Anolis sagrei: one gene and its partner. The protein of the gene in region 1 purifies or fractionates together with the protein of each later gene. This does not show direct contact. Links are inferred from orthologs where the notes say so. Each region holds a gene or a part of one and is shown in the gene's direction. Other genes may lie near its edges. The genes, in order: RSU1 and PARVA.

What was found.
Region 2: the proteins of RSU1 (region 1) and PARVA purify together in Homo sapiens (affinity purification with mass spectrometry; 3 studies listed by BioGRID and IntAct, counting the BioPlex papers as one, with this or other methods). This does not show direct contact. The link is inferred for Anolis sagrei from reciprocal best matches to the Homo sapiens genes RSU1 and PARVA.

What each region holds. Positions count from the first base shown.
Region 1 is NC_090026.1:105,610,174-105,621,509, reverse strand, and holds the start of RSU1 (ras suppressor protein 1), read left to right. Parts: upstream 1-6,347; 5' UTR 6,348-6,499; intron 6,500-10,261; 5' UTR 10,262-10,269; coding exon 10,270-10,378; intron 10,379-11,336. UniProt on the Homo sapiens protein: Potentially plays a role in the Ras signal transduction pathway. Capable of suppressing v-Ras transformation in vitro.
Region 2 is NC_090021.1:254,326,920-254,337,870, forward strand, and holds the start of PARVA (alpha-parvin), read left to right. Parts: upstream 1-5,839; 5' UTR 5,840-6,024; coding exon 6,025-6,160; intron 6,161-10,951. UniProt on the Homo sapiens protein: Plays a role in sarcomere organization and in smooth muscle cell contraction. Required for normal development of the embryonic cardiovascular system, and for normal septation of the heart outflow tract.

The sequences.
Region 1 (11,336 bases):
GGCTTCTCATCAATTCTGCTGTCGCCTGGGATTGCAACATTGATTATCTCTATACTTTGTTTTTTTTCCCCACAATCATGAGGTCAGGAGTATTGTGCTCCAAAACTCTGTCAGTCTGAATTCAGACGTCCCAGAGTAGTTTGACGTGTTCATTATCTGTAATCTTTTCTGGCTTGTGATCCCACCAGTTTTTTTGTCGCAGGCAGATGGTATTTGTGGCACAAGTTCCAATGAATCATCTGAGCAAAGGTATTATGCCTCTGTTTGTAGTCCCTCTGCGCAATTTTCTTGCAGAAGCTGAGTATGTGATCCATCATTTCACCTGCTTCTTTGCAGAGTCTACACTTGGAATCTGTAGGGTCAACTTTTCAATTCTGGCTTTGATGGCATTGGTTCTAATGGCTTGGTGTGCAACAATTAGGCCCTCCATCTCCTTTTTCAAAGTTCCTTTTGTGAGCGACATCCATGTTTTTTCCTTGTCAATTTTACTCTCAGTTTTCCCCAGGAACTGTCCACTGAAATGTTTCTTTTGCCAATTTTCTCTTCTGCTCTATCATCATCATCATTGTCGTCATCATCATCATCATCATCATCATCATCATCATCTGCTACCTGCCTCTCCTCACAGCTTGCAGTTAAAACATACCACCGTTTTGTGTGTATGTGTATGTATGTATATTTTGTTGTTTATTCGTTCAGTTGCTTCCAACTCTTTGTGACCCCATGGACCAGCCCATACTAAAGCTTCCTTCAAGGTTGAGCCAGTCACTTTAAGAATACCATCCATCCATCTTGCACTGGGTTGGGCCCACTTCCTTTTTCTTTCCATTTTCCCCAGCATAATTATCTTTTCCAAGCTTTCTTGTCATCCTATTATGTGGCAAAGTACTTCATCTTTGCCTCTAATACTTTTCCTTCCATTGAGCAGCTGGGCTTTATTTCCTGGAGTATGGACTGGATTGATCTTATTGCGGTCCAAGGCACTCTCAGAATTTTCCTCCAGCACAGTTCAAAAGCGTCTATCTTCTTTCACTCAGTCTTCCTTATGGTCCAGCTCTCACATCCATTGATTACTACAGGGAATACCACTGCTTAAACTATTCAGATCTATGTATGTGTGTATATATATTACAGAGCCCCTGGGGGTGCAGTGGGTTAAAGCGCTGAGCTTGTTGACCTAAAGGTCACAGGTTCAAATCCGGGGAGCGGCATGAACTTCCGCTGTTAGCCATAGCTTCTGCCAACCTAGCAGTTCCAAAACATGCAAATGTGAGTAGATCAACAGGTACCGCTCCGGCGGGAAGGTAACGGCGCTCCATGCAGTCATGCTGGCCACATGACCTTGGAGGTGTCTATGGGCAATGCCGGCTCTTTGGCTTAAAAATGGAGATGAGCACCACACCCCAGAGTCTTTTAAACAGAGGCTGGATGGCCATCTGTCAGGGGTGATTTGAATGCAATATTACTGCTTCTTGGCAGGGGGTTGGACTGGATGACCCACGAGGTCTCTTCCAACTCTTTGATTCTATGATTCTATGATTCTATGATTCTATGATTCTATGATTCTATGAGTCAGACACGACTGGACTTCATAGAATAGAATCAAAGAGTTGGAAGAGACCTCATGGGCCATCCAGTCCAACCCCCTTCCAAGAAGCAGGAATATTGCATTCAAATCACCCCTGACAAATGGCCATCCAGCCTCTGCTTAAAAGCTTCCAAAGAAGGAGCCTCCACCACACTCCGGGGCAGAGAGTTCCACTGCTGAACGGCTCTCACAGTCAGGAAGTTCTTCCTAATGTTCAGATGGAATCTCCTCTCTTGTAGTTTGAAGCCATTGTTCCGCGTCCTAGTCTCCAAGGAAGCAGAAAACAAGCTTGCTCCCTCCTCCCTGTGGCTTCCTCTCACATATTTATACATGGCTATCATATCTCCTCTCAGCCTTCTCTTCTTCAGGCTAAACATGCCCAGCTCCCCAAGCCGCTCCTCATAGGGCTTGTTCTCCAGACCCTTGATCATTTTAGTCGCCCTCCTCTGGACACATTCCAGCTTGTCAATATCTCTCTTGAATTGTGGTGCCTAGAATTGGACACAATATTCCAGATGTGGTCTAACCAAAGCAGAATAGAGGGGTAGCATTACTTCCTTCGATCTAGACACTATGCTCCTATTGATGCAGGCCAAAATCCCATTGGCTTTTTTTGCCGCCACATCACATTGTTGGCTCATGTTTAACTTGTTGTCCACGAGGACTCCAATATCTTTTTCACACGTACTGCTCTCGAGCCAGGCGTCACCCATTCTGTATCTTTGCATTTCATTTTTTCTGCCAAAGTGGAGTATCTTGCATTTGTCACTGTTGAACTTCATTTTGTTAGTTTTGGCCCATCTCTCTAATCTGTCAAGATCGTTTTGAATCCTGCTCCTGTCCTCTGGACTATTGGCTATCCCTCCCAATTTGGTGTCGTCTGCAAACTTGATGATCATGCCTTCTAGCCCTTCATCTAAGTCATTAATAAAGATGTTGAACAGGACCGGGCCCAGGACGGAACCCTGCGGCACTCCACTTGTCACTTCTTTCCAAGATGAAGAGGAAGCATTAGTGAGCACTCTCTGTGTTCGTCCACTTAACCAATTACAGATCCACCTCACCGTAGTTTTGCCTAGCCCACATTGGACTAGTTTCCTTGCCAGAAGGTCATGGGGGACCTTGTCGAAGGCCTTACTGAAATCCAGGTACGCTACATCCACGGCATTCCCCGCATCTACCCAGCTTGTAGCTCTATCGAAGAAAGAGATCAGATTAGTCTGGCATGACTTGTTTTTGATAAATCCATGTTGACTATTAGCGATGACTGCATTTGTTTCTAAGTGTTTGCAGACCGCTTCCTTAACAATCTTTTCCAGAATCTTGCCCGGTATCGACGTGAGGCTGACCGGACGGTAGTTGTTTGGGTCGTCCTTTTTTCCCTTCTTGAAGATTGGGACCACATTGGCCCTCCTCCAATCTGCTGGAACTTCTCCCGTTCTCCAAGAACTCTCAAAGATGGTTGCCAATGGTTCCGAAATGACTTCCGCTAGTTCCTTCAGTACTCTTGGGTGTAGTTGATCTGGCCCTGGGGACTTGAACTCATTAAGAGCGGCCAGGTATTCCTGGACGAATTCTTTCCCAATTTGGGGTTGGATGTCCTCCAATCCCTCATCCACTCCATCTTGCTGAGGTTGAAGACTCTCTTTTTGTGAGAAGACCGAGGCAAAGAAGGCATTAAGTAGTTCTGCCTTTTCCCTATCCCCTGTCAGCATTGCCCCATCTTCTCCTCAAAGAGGTCCTATCGCCTCCTTGTTTTTCCTTTTTCTACTGACATAAGAATAGAAGGCCTTTTTATTGTTTTTAATGTCCCTGGCAAGTCTGAGCTCGTTTTTTGCTTTAGCCTTGCGGACCTTTTCCCTACAGCTGTTGGCTATTTGTTTGAATTCTTCTTCTTCTTCTTCTTCATGAATTCTTTCATGTCAGGGGAAAACCTTTACCTTACTATATATATTACATTCTATAAAACACATACATTAAAATACATGGTACAAAGTTTAAAATGCCATAGTAATATAGGATAAATGTAAAAATCATAGTTTAAAAATGATTGGGTAGGCCTGCCAGAAGAAAAGGTTCATATTCCACCAGTTTACTTTCAGTAGTCAACAATATGCTTTAAATCAGGGGTCATCATACTTTTTAAACAGAGGGCCAGGTCAAAGTCACTCAAACTGTTGGAGGGCCGGATTAAAATTTGGGAAAAAAATGAATGAATTCCTATGCACACTGCACATATCTTATTTGTAGTGTAAAAACACTTAAAAACAATACAATAATTGAAATGAATAACAATTTTAACAAATATAAACGTATTAATATTTTAACGGGAAGTGTGGGCCTGCTTTTGGCTGATGAGATAAGATTGTTGTTGTTGTGTGCTTTCAAGTAGTTTCAGACTTAGGTTGACCCTGAGCGAGGGCCGGGTAAATTGTTACATCCCGAACAGATTACTGCAACGTGCTCTATGTGGGGTTGCCTTTGAAAGCTGTTCGGAAACTTCAGCTAGTCCAATGGGCGGCAGCTAGATTAATCAACAGAGCGTCATACAGGGAACATACCACCCCTCTGTTATGTCAGCTCCACTGGCTGCCGATCCAGTTCCGAGCACAATTCAAAGTGCTGGTTTTGACCTATAAAACCCTATACGGCTCCGGCCCAGAGTACCTGTCCGAACGTATCTCCTTTTATGTCCCACCTCGGAGTTTAAGATCTTCTGGGGAGGCCCTGCTCTCGGCCCCGCCTCTATCACAAGTGAGACTGGTGGGGACGAGGGACAGGGCCTTCTCAGTGGTGGCCCCTCGCTTGTGGAATTCACTCCCTGGGGAAATTAGGTCATCAACATCCCTCCTCTCCTTCAGAAGGAGGCTGAAAACATGGATATGGGACCAGGCCTTTGGGTAATCTGACAGACTGATAAGGTAATGACAACCAGAATTTGGAAAGGGCTATGGTAATGCTGAATGGACTTACGGATTTTAGAACTCGGTGAACGTTGACCACTAGATTGTCTTTTTAGTTGTTATTGTATTAATTGATTGTTTTTAACTATTGTGGCTATTGCTGTTATGTATTTTATCTGTTGAATTGTTGGCATCGAATTGTGCCGGTTGTAAGCCACCCTGAGTCCCCCCAGGGGTTGAGAAGGGCGGGGTAGAAGTGCCCGAAATAAATAAATAATAATAATAAATAAATTACCTTGGAGGGCCAGATCTGGCCCCCAGGCCTTAGTTTGAGGATCCCTGCTTTAAATAATATTACCTCCCATTGTCCTGGCATCACTCTATCCGAACATTTCAGTATTCTGGAGGATGAACGAAGGATGCAGGAGGAGGAGGAGGCAGAAGAATGAACGAAGGCAATAAACTGGTTTCCATTACCCTCCTTGTTGTTGTTCATTCGTTCAGTTGTCTCCGACTCTTCGTGACCTCATGGACCAGCCCACGCCAGAGCTCCCTGTCAGCCGTCACCACCCCCAGCTCCTTCAAGGTCAGTCCAGTCACTTCAAGGATGCCATCCATCCATCTTGGCCTTGGTCGGCCCCTCTTCCTTTTACCTTCCACTTTCCCCAGCATAATTGTCTTCTTTAGGCTTTCATGTCTCCTCATGATGTGGCCAAAGTACTTCAACTTTGTCTCTAGTATCCTTCCCTCCAATGAGCAGTTGGGCTTTATTTCCTGGAGGATGGACTGGTTGGATCTTCTCGCTGTCCAAGGCACTCTCAGAACTTTCCTCCAACACCACAGCTCAAAAGCATCGATCTTCCTTCGCTCAGCCTTCCCTAAGGTCCAGCTCTCACATCCGTAGGTGACTACAGGGAATACCATGGCTTTGACTAGGCGGATCTTTGTTGCCAGTCTGATGTCTCTACTCTTTACTATTTTATCGAGACTGGACATTGCTCTCCTCCCAAGACGTAAGCGTCTTCTGATTTCCTGGCCACAGTCTGCATCTGCAGTAATCTTTGCACCTAGAAATACAAAGTCTGTCACGGCCTCCACATTTTCTCCCTCTATTTTCCAGTTGTCAATCATTCTTGTTGCTATAATCTTGGTTTTTTTATGTTTAGCTGCAACCCAGCTTTTGCGCTTTCTTCTTTCACCTTGATTAGAAGGCTCCTCAGCTCCTCCTCGCTTTCGGCCATCAGAGTGGTGTCATCTGCATATCTGAGGTTGTTAATGTTTCTTCCAGCAATTTTCACCCCAGCCTTGCATTCATCAAGCCCCGCACATCACATGATGTGTTCTGCATACAAGTTAAAAAGGTTGGGTGAGAGGATGCAGCCTTGCCTTACGCCTACCATGCCCTTATCTAATACCTTATGACAGTGGCATCATTGCAGAATCATGACCCTGGGCTAACTTCCTCTTTATGTTATAATGGGCTGATAGAAATGAGAAGCGTGTGCCCTTTTATTTCATTACTGGCCTCAACTTTGCTGCAACCATTTCATCAAACTGTAACTCTCGCGATTCCTTAGTCCTGAGCCATGGCAATTAAAGCGGTGTCAAAGTGTAGCCATTCCACAATGTTGTTGCACTCCCCGGCACAACTTTGCCTTCACTTCCTTCCCTTGAGCTGCTGAATTGTATCCTCGACTTTCCCGAATCCCATTGGCTAGCTCTTGAGGCGTCTCGACCAATAGCCGCCGGGCAAAGGTGGAGATTCCTCTCGGATTGGTTGGCCGCGGGCTGCACATTCCAAACTGTGGGCGGGGCCGGGGCTGCCCCGAGCGCTGCTTCTCCTTACTTGGAGCGAAGGAGAGGGTCGGGTGTCTGGGGTTGGGACTGCGCCTGCGCACTGGGAGGAGGCAGCAGCGTAACAGGGCGGGGGCTTCGGAAAAGAGCCTGGAGTGGACCTGACCGCCTCGACCGAGATCCAGCGCCCCGGTCCCTTCCCTTCCTACAGAGGGTGAGTTCCTTGGAGATGCTTCAGAGCAGATGGCTCGCCTTCCTCGATCTGGCCGGGGAGGGGGCAGAGGGTCATCCTCTCTTCCTTCCCTGCAATTCTAGCTTCCTCTGAGGCTGAGACAGTGTGACCTGTATCTGTACTGGAGAATTAATGCAGATTGACACCGTTTTAACCTCAAACGTTCACTGTTATGGAATCTCGGGAGATGTAGTTTTAGAAGGGCTTTAGCCTTCTCTACCAAATGCCCTGATGCGCCCCCAACTCCCAGGATTGCATAGCGTTGAGCCCATGGCACTTAAAAGTGGTGTCAAGCTGCATTAGTTCTACAAGGGTCTGATCAAGGGTCTGGAGAACAAGCCCTATGAGGAGCGGCTTAAAGAGCTGGGCATGTTTAGCCCAAAGAAGAGAAGGCTGAGAGGAGACATGATAGCCATGTATAAATATGTGAGAAGAAGTCACAGGGAGGAGAGAGCAAGCTTGGAGACTAGGATGCGGAACAATGGCTTCAAACTACAAGAAAGGAGATTCCATCTAAACATGAGGAAGAACTTCCTGACTGTGAGAGCCATTCAGCAATGGAATTCTCTGCCCCAGAGTGTGGTGGAGGCTCCTTCTTTGGAACTTAGCCTAGGGTCATGATAGGATGGCCAACTGTCAGGGGTGCTTTGAATGCAATATTCCTGCTCCTTGGCAGGGGGTTGGACTGGATGGCCCATGAGGTCTCTTCCGACTCTATGACTCTATGACTGTAGATACACCCCTAGCCCTGAAAAAAAATAGTGGCCCATTGAGAGCAATGTGACAACTGATTTAGCATCCCTTATCCAGAATTCCAAAACTCGCCCAAATCCAAAATTATCTACATCCCTGGTAGCAGAGAGAGTGACACCTCTGCATTCTGATGGTTCAGTGGACACAAACTTTGTTTCATGCTCAAAATTATTAAAAGCACTGTGTGTAAAGTTACCTGGATGAAGGATGCATGGCAAGCACCAGGACTGTGGCGCAGCTGGCTGGGAGTCAGCTGCATTAAGATCACCACTGACCTAAAGGTCTTGAGTTTTAAGCCAACCCAGGTCAGAGTAAGCTTCCAACCAGTTTGTGTAGCTTGATGTCGACCTTTGCAGCCCGAAAGACAGTTGCATCTGTCAAGTAGGAAATTTAGGTACCGCTTATACGGGGAGGCTTCACTCTGGAATACTCTGCCAGGACCTATCAGCTTTCCACAGGGCGTGTAAGACATATCTGTTTCGACAGGCCTTTGATCTCTGATATTGTTGTTTTAAATTGTTTTTAAATTGTTTTAAATTGTTTTTAAATTGTGTTAGATTTTAGCCTGTTCTTGTAAGCCGCTCTGAGCCCCAGGGGAGTGGCGGCATATAAGTTTGATTTAGAAATAAATGAATAAATAAATAAATAAAATATACGATGCCTTAAAAATCTCCAGCGAGCATGCAAAGAATGAGGAAGTACTTCATCAATGTCACAAATGGACGGTGAAGCGACAGCTCCCCTGGTGGCCAGAATATCCTCATCAAAAAGCTGGAATGTTAAATAGCCTCAATGTGTCTGTGTATATATGTTGTGAGTCTATGGCATTGAATGTTTGCCATGTATATGTACATTGTAATCTGCCCTGAGTCCCCTGCACGGTGAGAAGGGCAGAATATAAACACTATAATAAATAAATAAATAAATAAGCATCAATTAATTTCCTGTTAAGACTGGGGACCTTTCTCCAAGATCTCTCTCTATGTGTATCCAAATAATCTGTTACCAAAGGCTTTCGTGGCCAAAATCACTGGGTTGCTGTGAGTTTCTCCAGGCTGTATGGCCATGTTCCAGAAGCATTCTCTCCTGACGTTTCACCCCCATCTATAGCAGGCATCCTCAGAGGTATGGAGCCCCCGGTGGCGCTGTGGGTTAAACCCCTGTGCTGGCAGGACTGAAGACCGACAGGTCGCAGGTTCGAATCTGGGGAGAGGCAGATGAGCTCCCTCTATCAGCTCCAGCTCCTCATGCGAGGACATGAGAGAAGCCTCCCAAAAGGATGATAAAAACATCAAATCATCTGGGCGTCCCCTGGGCAATGTCCTTGCAGACGGCCAATTCTCTCACACCAGAAGCGACTTGCAGTTTCTCAAGTCGCTCCTGACACGACAAAAAAAAATCCTCCGAGGTTGTGAGATCTGTTGGAAACAAGGCAAGGGGAGTTTATATATCTGTGGAATGTCCAGGGTGGGAGAAAGAACTCTTGTCTGTTTGAGGCAAGTGTGAATGTTGCAATTGGTCGCCTTGATTAGCATTTAATGGCCTTGCAGCTTCAAAGCCAAAGCAAAAGGATCCCTCCAGGCAGCAACCAGCCAGGCATGGCCATTCAGTGCTAATCAAAGTGGCCAGTTGCAACATTCACAACAACAACAACAACAACAACTTTATTTTTGTATCCCACCTCCATCTCCCCGAAAGGACTTGGAGCGGCTTACATGGGGACAAGCCTGAGCAACATAGTTAAAATATAACACATTAAAACACTTGTCAGGCACCCTGGACATTCCTCAGATATATAAACCTCGCTTGCCAGAGCTGATGTACTTATTAATTGTGGGTCTGCTCCCCATGCGCTGCCAGTAAGTTTCTGCAGGATGTTATTGTGTGCAGCTGCTTTGTGCTTGGTGACAAAGGATAAAAAGATAAACTGAATAATTGTCGTAAATTAGTCTTAAGTATACTCCTAGACATAAATTAATGTATATACATCTCTCTGTCCATATGTTGTATCATAGTAGTTCAACAGGACCTGATAGTCCCTGCATGAAGAGCAAGGAATCACTTCTAAAGTATTGACACTTTCCATCCAGAGCTGAGGGGCAAATTGTTGTAATATCTTCTTTCTCCGGAGAACAATCTTCATCCAGATTTGATGGGTTCCAGGATCCAGGTGCCATTCCAAAGCATTTGGAAAATGGATTTCCAAAGGTTATATAATGCACAAACAAACAAAAGCAATCAAAATGCATGAGCAAGACCTACCTCCAGAACTATGGGTGCATCTACATCAGGCATGGGTAAACTTCAGCCCTCCAGGTGTTTTGGACCTCAACTCCCATAATTCCTAACAGCCGGAGGGTCCAGGTTTGCCCATGCCTGATCTACACTGTAGAATTAATACAATCTGATGTCACTTTATCTGTCACAGATCAATGCTGTGGAATAATGGGAGTTGCAGTTTGATGAGGCACCAACACTCTTTGGTAAAGAAGGTTAAAGACCTTGTAAAACTATAACTTCCAGGATTGCATAGCACTGAACTATGGCAATTAAAGTGGTGCCAATGCATTCATTCTTCAATATAGATGTCATCAGATTAGCAACAGAGGAAAATCCACGTCCCTGTTCTATTCTCAGCCTTCATGTTTCCCAAAACCCATCTTCTTGGTAGAAGAGGACCAGCTAACAGCATCATTTTAGAAGATAGCTCACTGCAAAATATTTTGAACAAGCTCCTAATTGGGAGACACAATTTCACATCAAGATGGCCTATCTTCTACCATAAAATGAAGAATCACAACATGCAGGCATTGTGTTTTTTCATGACCTTTATGCCTTTTCTGTCACATTGAGATCACTGGAGTGAGCAAGTTCTCCCCCTCCAATTGATTTCATTTGAGATTGGCTTATCTGATACAGTAAAAGAAATGTCCTTTCAGCTTTATGTATCTTTTCTTGACCTGCTGCAATATACCTCTGTTCTTTTTGCAGCTTCCATCATGTCCAAATCCTTGAAAAAAATTGTGGAGGAGAGTCGGGAGAAGAACATCTTGGAAGTCGACATGTGCGACCGGGGAATCTCTAACATGCTAGACATACCTGGTTTGTGTAAGTATTTCTCGGCTCTGCTTTAATGCTTTTGCATTTCTGCAACAGCAACCTTGCTTCTGTAGACAACTGGTTATTAAAAGGAACTTGTTGTTATGTGTGACTTCAAGTCATTTCTGACTTATGGTGACCATAAGGTGACCTTATCATGGGACTTTCTGAGGATGAGAGTGTGTGAGTCACCAAGAGCTGCTTTGAATCTCCTTTGGGAGAGAAGAAGCAGAATATAGATGATGATGATGATGATGATGATGATTATTATTATTATTATTAAGAAGAAGAATAAAAGTAAAAGTTTCCCCTTGGCATTAAGTCTAGTCGTGTCTGACTCTGTGGGGGTTGGTGCTCATCTCCATTTCTAAGCCAAAGAGCTGGCATTGTCCAAAGACGCCTCCTAGTCACATGGCCGGCATGACTACATGAAGTGCCGTTACCTTCCTGCAGAAGCAGTACCTATTGATCTACTCACATTTGCATGTTTTCAAACTGCTAGGTTGACAGAAGCTGGGGCTAACAGCAGGAGCTCACCCCGCTCTCTGGATTTGAACCACCACCCTTTCAGTCAGCAAGTTTAGCAGCTCAGCGGTTTAATCCCTGCGCCAACAGGGGCCCTAATAATAATCATAACAATAACACTAACAATAATAATAACACCCCAGTCTCTAAAACTGTGGTCAAACACTCAAACCACTATACTATTTTGGCTAATCAAAAGGAATTGGTAGTTCCTATAGGAACCTAGCAGTTAAAACTTCTAATTAAAATTTCAAATCATTCTCCAGATACAATAGTTTGAGTATAAGAGATTGAGAAGAATTTTGGAAGAATATTGTTTTGTTTTGTTTACTTTTTTTCTTGGACACACAGGTGACAGGTGGGTTCCTAATGGCCAAGCGTATGAGCTGGAATGTCCTGGAATGAAATGCCTTTTTCCACCCCATGTTCTGCTTGCAGTATG
Region 2 (10,951 bases), on another chromosome or scaffold:
CAAATTCAAGGTAGACTCATAGATGGAGAAACAGTCCTTCTGATATCATGGGCTGGAGCTTTATATTACTTTATATTGAAAAAAAGTCTCAAAAATTCATGGAGACTTGTTAAATTGACAGGTGATTTGAAGGCATGTGCACACACTAGCCATTTTTCCCACAAGAAGTTCAAGCAAAGGTAGAATATGTGACCCTCTAAATATTATTAAACTGCAGCTTCCAGCATCTCTTGCTTTAGGCCAGGGGTCCTCAAACTAAGGCCCGGGGGCCAGATACGTCATTTACCCGGCCCTCGCTCAGGGTCAACCTAAGTCTGAAATGACTTGAAAGCACACAACAACAACAACAACAACAACAACAACAATCCAAAATCATCATCCAAAAGCAGGCCCACACTTCCCATTGAAATGCTAATAAGTTAATATTTGTTAAAATTGTTCAATTTAATTATTGTATTGTTTTAAAGTGTTTTTTGCACTACAAATAAGATATGTGCAGTGTGCATAGGAATTCATTCATGCTTTTTTCAAATTATAATCCGGCTTCCAACAGTTTGAGGACTGTGACCTGGCCCTCTGTTTAAAAAGTTTGTGGACCCCTGCTTTAGGCCCTGGTGGCTGGAGGTAATGGGAATTCCAGTCAAATAACATTTGGAAGCCTGTATTTTTCCCACCCCAAATTTGCTATAATTAAAAATTATTTTAACCATTTTGCCTTTAGATTTATGAAAAGAAGCTACCAATGAATATGCAGTGTTGGCTGGGATTATAAATGGAGCAGAAGAAAGTCAAATTTGCACCTACTTTGGAGGAACACAAGCAGCAAAAGAGATAAAGAACAGCATTTTGAAAAATGTCAGAAATCATCTTCTGAAGGTTCTACTCTATCTGCCAGGCGACTTTTTGTCCTTTCAGAATGATATACATTATAAATGCAAGATATTAATTAAAGTTGTAGATGAAATAACTTGGTACTGAAACTGCAAAGGGGCAGAAGGATGTTCCTATTAAGGTAAATAAAAATAGCTCCTAATATTGATGTATATAAAGAAACAGTGGATAGATTCTATGTGTTGCCTTATCCAGTATGCTTTCACTGTGGAAATGCGAGTGGGATATTCATCATTTTCCATTTCCTAGATTTTTAATTCTGCATATATTTGAAAGTCAGAGAACTAGGGGATTTCTTTGGATCTCTCCTTCCTTGAGATTATAACCTTTCAGAATGGGACTTGCATATGTTAATTTCATATATGGGGATTTTTTTTTTTAAAAAGGAGCATTGCCAGTATATCAATGCATCCACATTCAGTATTAATTGTTGTAGTGACAGAACATACAACAATTAATATATGCATTTTATAAATGCATAACTGTAAACATGTCAGTTCAGTGTTTAACAGATGTAATTTACAAGCTAGAAAGCACTGTGATGTTAGTGAAGCTTTAATGCAGTGGTAAAGATTTGCAATTTGTACCACTGTATTAATATCAAAGGGATTATTCTTTGCAAAATGTAGAAAGATCACATGATCCTTGTGCTGCTGTAACCAAAGACGACAGCATAATATGCTGACAGAAATATATATGATAATTATAGTTTTTACAATATGTTTTTGCTTCATAAATAGTACCAGTATATGATCCTTATGTGTATATAAAATTCTGAATTGTGATATTTGGTGTTAATGGGAAAAATCCTGACCACATTGCTTTGTATGATACCAACAGTATTCATTAGAAGGGCTGTGCAAACATATATGCCATATTTACACTGCAGCTGAAGATAAAAGGCCAGATAATAAAATTAAGAGCAAGAAGTTGGCACTGGGCTCGTACCTTGACTACAATTCACAGGCACTGATATACTGTTGCCATCACTCAATGTTCTGTAGGTTAAACTGTTTGCAGGATTTCAACCCAATGGGGAAAGGTCGATCCTTCAATTTTGGTTCATCACCTTGTGTTCAAGAAACTGAAATCATCTGGTAATGTCTTTACTTAATTTATAAAATATTTTTTGAGGGACCTGTTTTGATTTCACACTCTAACTAGTAAGATTAACTATTACATAACTATATCTAAGCTGCTTAAAATGTCCTGTCTCTGGTTAAGCAAAAGCAAAATAAATAAACATCTTGAGCCAAATTACAAGTCCTAGTTGAAGCATGAAGAATAAACTAGAAGCTTGTACAACTAATGAACAATCTAATTCTGTAAAATGCGGAGTTTGGGAATTTTCTTTCTGAATTATGACTCCAGGAATTGCAACAAGTATGGCCGCTGAGCATACCGACTGGAGATTTGGGGAGCTGACACACAAAAAGAAGAACTAAATTCCAAAAAGGCCCAGTTCAGTTCATTAGTTTAGTTGAAATGTGTATGAGTTGCAAGATATCTGGTCTTTTTTTAACCTTCAGACATTAGATGAGAACAAAAGCTTGTTTCTATGGGTGAAAAGCTTAATGTTTCCCTTTAAGGGTGGATTTGGAGAACTGTGGTTTGTTATAACCAACTTTTGTCACAACAACTGCTGTTTCTTGAGTTCTTAAGCAGAGCTGAATTGTTCTTCATGTGAAAGCAGTAGTTTTTAATCTCCTTTTGTAAAATGGAAGACAAAGAAGAGAGGAATCTACATGACACTGTGTCTCATTTCCTAAAACAAACTGAAAATCCAATTGGGAAAATATATAAATGTTCCTGCAAACAACACTGGGGGGAAGGTTCTCTTTGCTGTTTATGTATTTATTTTGTGTGGTGTTTACATACAGTGGTAATTTATTAGCATATTTATTCTTGGGGTTCACTTTTCTATTTTGGTCAGTAAGTGGAATACCTACAGTAACCAAAGTTTAGGCGAAGTTGCACCACTGGGTAATTATAGTGTAATAATTCAAGCCAAACTTTACAATATCTGTGTTTTCCATTTGTACTGAACAGATGCACTTTCGTCATAATGTATGTGTATTGTGAGTCACTACATCATTGCAATGTAAGCTATCTCTTTGGTAATATTAAAAATGTATTAAAATTGAACAAAATGTTGATAATATCTTGCTGAAAACACTGTGGCCATACTGAATTTTTAGTTACTTGACCAAGAATTCTGGAATGTTTAATGGAAATGCAGGTGTGTATTCATCATGATAAAACTGCAGCTAAACTGGCAGTTCATTGCTTATGTTAATGAAATGGCCTTCTTCAGTGGAAGAAAGAGGGAGGACAACTACATGAACTGCATGACAAAACAAACACCTTACCAAAACAGGATAGAGATATCAGGTCAAAACAAAAATGAGGAATACTACTTGAATAGACTACTGCAATAGACTACTGCAATGCACTCTACATGGGGCTGACTTTGAAGACTGTTTGGAAGCTCCAGGTGATCTAACAAGTGACAGCCAAGCTGCTCACTGGAGCGATGTACAGAGAGCATACAACCCTCCTGTTACATCAACTCCACTGGCTGCGGGTCTGCTGCCAAGCCCAATTCAAAGGGCTGGCTTTAGCCTATAAAACTCTAAACAGCTCTTGTCCAACTTACCTGTCTGAATGTATCTTTCTCTATGAACCAGTTAGAAAGTTAAGATCTGCAGGGGAGGCCTTGCTCTCAGTCCCACCCCCATTACAAGCACAAGTGGTGGGGATGAGAGACAGGTCCTTCTCAGTGGTGGCCACTTAGCTATGGAACTCCCTACCTGGTCTATAATAATTGAAGACAGGATTATTTTCCCCTGAATTCTACAAGTGAGACAAATGAAAAACTATATATTAGGGCAATGCCTTTACCAGACCATCTCTCCCCAAAGCACAAAACAACATGCAAGTTTTTGGAATAGAGAAATCACTTCACCAAGAAAGAGATTAATTGCTAAAGGTGTGATTGGGTCAGACAGAGAAAGAGAACTAAAAAAAATGAAAACTGTCCTAAAATCTGTATGACCCTGTCCTATCTTGAATTGTGATGGGGCCATCAAACCTCTCCTCCTCACGGCCTCCCATATGCTTTTTCAGGAGGCATCTGATCTTTCATCCAAAATCAACTTCCACCATGCATTGCAGCCCTCATGCCCAACATTAAAGGCAGTGGGAATATATCCAAGGAAATACAGGTTAAGCACTCCTTACCCAGAAATACAAAATCCTCACACATGCAAAATTGTCCATATGGGTTTTTTTTTTAATTGTGTCAGAAGCAAATTGGAGTTACTTCTGGTGTGAGAGGATGAGCCATCTGCAAGGACATTGACCAGGGGATGCCAAGATGTGTCACCATCCTGTGGGAAGCTTATCTCATGGGAAGCTGGAGATGACAGATAGGAGCTCACCCTGCCTCGCAGATTCAAACCGACAACCTTCAGATCAGCAGTTTAGCCGGCACAAGGGTTTGACTCATTGCACCACTGCAGCTCCATCCATATGGGTTGCTGCAATGGCAACACTTTTGCGTTCTGGAGGTTCAAAGACAAATTTTATTTCATGCACAAAATTATTAAAATAATTGTGTATAAATGATTTTCAGACTATGCCTTTAGGGTGTATGCATGAACACTTTGGAGCACATCACCAAAAGATGTCATTATGTATAAGCAAACATTCCAAAATCTGGAAAAAAAATCTAAATTGCTTCTGGTCTTAAGCATTTCAGGTAAGGGATACTCAGTATGTGTTGTCGAAGGCTTTCATCCCAGAATCACTGGGTTGCTGTGAGTTTTCCAAGTTGTATGGCCGTGAAGCATTCTCTCCTGCCGTTTTGCCCACATCTATGGCAGGCATCTTCAGAAGTTGTGAGGTCTGGGTTGCTGTGAGTTTTCCAAGCTGTATGGCCATGTTCCAGAAGCATTATCTCCTGACGTTTTGCCCACATCTATGGTAGGCATCTTCAGAGGTTGTGAGGTCTGGGTTGCTGTGAGTTTTCTGGGCTGTATGGCCATGTTCCAGAAGCATTCTCTCCTGTTGTTTCACCTGCATCTATGACAGGCACCCTTAAGAGGAAAACTCACAACAACCCAGTGATTCTAGCCATGAGAGCCTTCAACAATATGTTGTGAGGTCTGTTTATGGCTGTAAATTGAAACCTGTGTGTGTATGTGTGTTTGTGTTTCCCCAGTAACCCCCCTCCCCAAAAAGTGCTGCGATCATTCCAGATCCCTTTGTAGTAAGATACAGACTGAACATTCCTTCCCTGGATTTCTGAAATACTCCAAAACTGTCAAAATGGGTGGCTGAGATAAGGACAATTTACTCTTCTGCTGGTTTAGTGGGCACAAAATGTGTTTCATGGGAAAATTACTAAAAATATTGCCTAAAATTCCCTTCAGACTAAGTGTTTAGATGGGGGTCCCATTTCCAAGATGTATATATATTACAAAAGAACTTCCTGACTGTGAGAGCTGTTCAGCAGTGGAACTCTCTGCCCCAGAGTGTGGTGGAGGCTCCTTCTTTGGAGGCTTTTAAGCTGAGGCTGGATGGCCGTCGGGGGTGCTTTGAATGCGATTTTCCTGCTTCTTGGCAGGGGGTTGGACTGGATGGCCCACAAGATCTCTTCCAACTCTAGGATTCTATGAAAACCTGGAAAAATCTGAAACGCCTGGCCCCAAGCACTTGGGAGAAAGGGTTTCCAACCTGTAGGGACTTGTCCTTCTGGGGCGAAAGAATGGGAGGTGATGGTTGGGAGGGGGGGGAATCAGCTGCTGGGGGGCGGGCTTTTCCAAACTCCATCGTGGCTCCTGGGAGTCCCCTCCAGGCAGCGAGGAAGGCGAGGCAGCGACTCCTTCTTTGGGTGGAGAAAGAGAGAGAGAGAGAGAGAGAGAAGGAGGGAGAGAGGAAGAAGGGAGGCGGGAGGGAGGAAGGGAGGGAAAGAGAGCAAGAGCAGCCTCAAACGTTTCGAATAATTCCGCTTCCGTCGGGAATCGGGACCGGGAGGCTGCGAGGGAGGGAAGCCCGGGTGCCTCCTCTCTTTCTCTTTCCCGCTCGGGGCGCCTCCGCCGCCGCCGCCCCCTCCCTCCCTCCCTCCCCGCCATGGCCACCTCCCCGCAGAAGTCGCCCTCGTCCCCGAAATCCCCCACCCCCAAGTCGCCCCCCTCCCGGAAGAAAGACGACTCCTTCTTGGGGAAACTCGGGGGCACGCTGGCCAGGAGGAAGAAAGCCAAGGAAGGTGAGCAAAGGGGGTGGAAAGGACGGAGGGAGGGAGGGGGAGGAGAAGCCAATCGGTCTTGCCCCGGGGTTGCCACGCAAGCTGCTGTGCCAGGGCGCCTTGAAGGGAGCAGAGGCGGGGAGGTGGAAGCAGGCAGGCAGGGAGGGAGGGAGGGAGGGAGGAAGGGCCCTGTTGCTCCGCGCTGCCCTCCAGGCTGGGGATCCGGGAAGGAGGGGGGGGGGGGCGCGCGAAGGGAGGCCGCCTGGGTGCGCCGCTTTGCCCGCGTCACTCGCGAAAAATGTAGCCTGGAGCGGGCGAGGGAGGGGCCAGGGCTGCCGCGAGGCGCGCTTCCCTCCCTCCTCTGCTGCTGCTGCTGCTGCTGCTGCTTTGGCCTGCGGAGCGCAGGAAGCGGCCGCTCCTCCCCGGCCCCAGAGGCAGCCTCCCCGCCCCTGCTCCACCCCCTCTCCTCCCCCGCCAGACTGTGAGGCTTGGGTTGGCCCATCTCCCGCCGGCGCCTTGGTCCTTCCTGCCCTGGCCTTCTTGGGGACCAGCTGGGAGGCCCACGGAGAGGGGGGCCAATAGTATGATAGCTGGGTCTGGAAACGGTGAGAGCATGATAGCTGGGTCCGGAAGCTCCAAGCATTACGCACATTCCGCAAGGGCGGTTGTGAATAAGGGCGGGAATGTACTTCAATTTGGTGGAAGGACAGAAAGGAAGGGAGGGTTAGGATAAAGTTTAGGGTAAGGTTTAGGGTTCGGGTAGGGTAAGGGTTAGGGTTAGGATTAAAATTAGGTTTAGGGGTTAGGTTTAGGGTTTGGGTTAATATTAGGATTATGGTTTGGGTTAGGAGTAGTGTTAGGTTTAGGGTTCGGGTAAGGAGTGGTTCTCAACCTGGGGTCCCCAGATGTTTTTGGCTTTCAACTCCCAGGATTTCTGGGAGTTGTAGACCCAAAACATCTGGGGACCCCAGGTTGAGAACCACTGGCTTAGGTTTTTACCGTTAAAGAATTCTTACATTCCTTCTATAATATCTGTGTTCCGTTCTGCGTTACGCAAACAGCGCTCCCATAGGAGCAAAGTGGAAAGAGCATAAGGCTCAGAGCTTCCGGACCCAGCTTTCATACTATTACCCTAGAAACTCCGGGCATTACTGAGATCCCACATTGCTTCTTTGGGAGCACTGTTTGCACAAGAGAGACTGGCACTTTAGTTGTGAAGCCAGGCCGGAGACAGATAATATAGAAGGAATGTAAGAGTTCTTTTAAGGTGAAACCCTTACCCTACCCCTAATCCTTACCCTGAACCCTGCCGTAAGCCTAAACCTAACCCCTTACCCTAACCCAAACCCTAAACCTTACCCTAACCCTTACCCTTACCTTTACGTCAACTCAAACCCAACCCTAAACCTTACCCTAACCCTAACTAACCCCTAATCCTTACCATAACCCAAACCCTAAACCAGGAGTCCACAAACTTTTTAAACAGAGAGCCAGGTTTGAGGGCCAGGTCACAGTCCCTCAAAGGGCAGGTTATATTTTTTTTTTAAAAAAAAAACAAGAATGGATTCCTATGCACACTGCACATATCTGTAGTGCAAAAAGCCACTCAAAACCAATACAATAATTAAAATGAAGAACAATTTTAGCAAAGATAAACTTATTAGTATTTCAATGGGAAGTATGGGCCTGCTTTTGGCTAATGAGATAGGGTTGTTGTTGTTGTTTTGTGCTTTCATGTTGTTTCAGACTTAGGTTGACCCTGAGCGAGGGCTGGGTAAGTCACATTGGAGTGCCATATCTGGCCCCCAGGCCTTAGTTTGAGGACCCCTGCCCTAAACCTTGCCCTAACACTTACCCAAACCCTAAACCTTACCCTAAACCTTACCCTAACCCTAAACCGCACCCTAACCGTAACCCCTAACTGTAACCCAAACCCTAAACCTTGCCCCAAACCCTACCCTAAGCGTCCCCTCCTTTCTATCCTCCCTTCGCTCTTCCTGCTCTCACTCCGCCCCCTCTCTACCCTTATTCACAGCCTCCTTTGCGGCATCTCTGTACCGCTCAGAGCTTCCAGACTCAGCTATCATACTATCACCCCCCTCCCTCAATGTTGGAGGGCAATCCTGGTTGAATCCTGGGTCACCACCAAGAAGGCCCTCTCCCTTGTTCCCACCAACCGTGCTTGAGAAAAGGTCTTCATTTGGGGTCAGTGGTGTCACTAAAGCTGGTGCATATCTCTTCTGCTCCTGGCCCAGATTCTTCATCCTCTGCCACACCACTGATATCCTGTTAATTTTATCATAGCTGGAATACTATGCAGCTCATTGCCCTCTGAGCCTCGGGTGGGACAGTGAGTTAAGTCACTAAGCTGCTGAACTTGATGACCGAAAGGTCGCTGTTCGAATTCGGGGAGCGGGGTGAGCTCCTGCTGTTAGTACCAGCTTCTGTCAACCTAGTAGTTCGAAAACATGCAAATATGTAGATCAAGTATGTCAATGGGTACTGCTCTGGCGGGAAGGTAACTGTTCTCCATGCAATCATGCCAGCCACATAACCTTGGAGGTGTCTATGGACAACGCAGACACTTTGGCTTAGAAATGGAGATGAGCACCACCCCCAAGAATCGGACAGGATTGGAGGGGCTCATTTAATTCTTGCTTCTTATAGACTTAGCATGGGGATTTGGTTAACCAGTTAAAATTCATGAGTAAACTAGTGTTTATTAACCTGAAAAAATTCAGGAGGGAGGTGTTAAATCCCCTCCCCCCTTGGCTACAACCCTGCTTGTAGCCAATCATCATCATCATCTTTATTTATATCCTACCACCATCTCCCAAAAGGGACTCGAGGTGGCCTACAAGGGACTCCAAGTGCAATATAACATAAATGGTACATAAGTATAAAACAATATAAAGTTACGAAACAACTGCTATCAACATATAAAATAAAATAACACAATTTAAAAATGCAGACCATCTAGTTAAAACTAGCTGCCATCAATTCACAACTAAAGTGCCAGTGTATCAACCTCATATGGGTCCATTTCAGTCTACTCTAGGCCAAAAGCCTGTTTAAAAATCCATGCTTTTTGGTTGGATTGGAAGGAGTCAAGGGTGGGGGCTAATCTAATCTCTTTTGAGAGGGTATTCCAGAGCTGGGGAGCCACTACAGAGAAGGCCATCTCTTTCATCCCCACCAACCACGCTTGAGAAGGTGGTGGGACCGAGAGTTGGGTTCATGGCATCTCTATGAACATCTTCCTGTACCAGACTGTATCACATATCTATTCAGCAACAGCCCCCAGGTTCTCATCCCATCCCATTCCAGTTATATCCCCGCAGAGACACAGGAATTTTAGCATAGCTGGGATAGTGTGGGATTGGTTTCCCCCTGACATTAAGTCCAGTCATGTCTGATTCTGGGGGATGGTGTTGTCTGCAGACACCTTCAAGGTTATGTGGCTGGCATGACTGCATGGAGTGCCTTACCTTCCTGCCAGATAGGTACCTATTGATCTACTCACCCTGCATATTAGTGATACCCCTATGGTTGGGTTCACCTAGTGAGGTAATCATGATGTTACTTCCTCCCCTACCAGACCATGCTGCCTACCTGTTCTTCTCTCTCATCCCACTGCTATATCTGCAGAAACCCGCTGATTTTAGCCTAGCTGAAATAGTATTAAACCAATCTGTACATTGTATTTCATGCTAGCATCCTTAGGATTGGTTTCACCTAATGCAATAACTCATGGTATCATCTCCATGGACTTGCTCCCATAGCATACTATGTTGTGCTCCTGTCCCCAATTTCCCATCCCACTGATATCCCTGCAGAAACTGACACATTTTAGCATAGCTGGAATATTGTGCAAGTCATCTGTACATCACATTGCATGCTAGTGACATCAATTGATTTTACCCAGTGCTGTATCTCATGGTGTCATCTCCATGGGCCTCCTCCCCTATAAGGCCTTGTTGCGTATGTGTTCTCCTATCCTTGATTTTCCATCCCATCCCATCCCATCCCACTGATATAACTGCAGAGATTCACAGATTTTAGCATAGCTGGAATAGTATGCAACTCATCTGAATATCACCTTGCATGCTAGTGGCATCCCTAGGGTTGATTTCACCCACTGTGGCAAGTCATAGTGTCATCTCCATGCACATCCTTCCATACCATACCTTGCTGCATATCTATTCTGCTCCTGTGCCTGATTTCCCATCCCATTCCACTGATATCCCTGCAGAGAATCATGAATCATAACATAGCTGGAATAGTCTGTAAATCATCTGCACTATGCCTTGCATGCCAGTGGCATCCCGAGGATTAGTATCACCTACATCAACCTTCTGCCATACCAGACTATAACACAATATTGAAACTAATTTTTTAAAATCAGCAACTATGAAAAACAAGCGGCAACAAAAACAATGGTGCCTACCTGTTGAGTGTGTGTGTGTGAAACAACATAGTTCAAAGTGCCACTGTCATTGAGTAGCAGTGATGAAAGCTCTGGTTAGATTGCATGTATATTAGAAGGTTTAAGAAGTAAATTAGTATAGAGTTTTGTTGTTGTGTGTGCGTGTGTGTGCGCGTGTGTGTGTACACACACACACACACACATACATATATATATATATATATATATATATATATATATATGCACAGACAGTATATGTAAGCTGGCCTAAGAAAAATGTTTTTTGTGGTTATTTTTAACTGTGGGGATGTTTTTTTAAAATAAAATCTGAAAGGCTGCATCAAAATGTTTTGGTGTTGACATCTCTGGTACAGCTTGCATCTGGT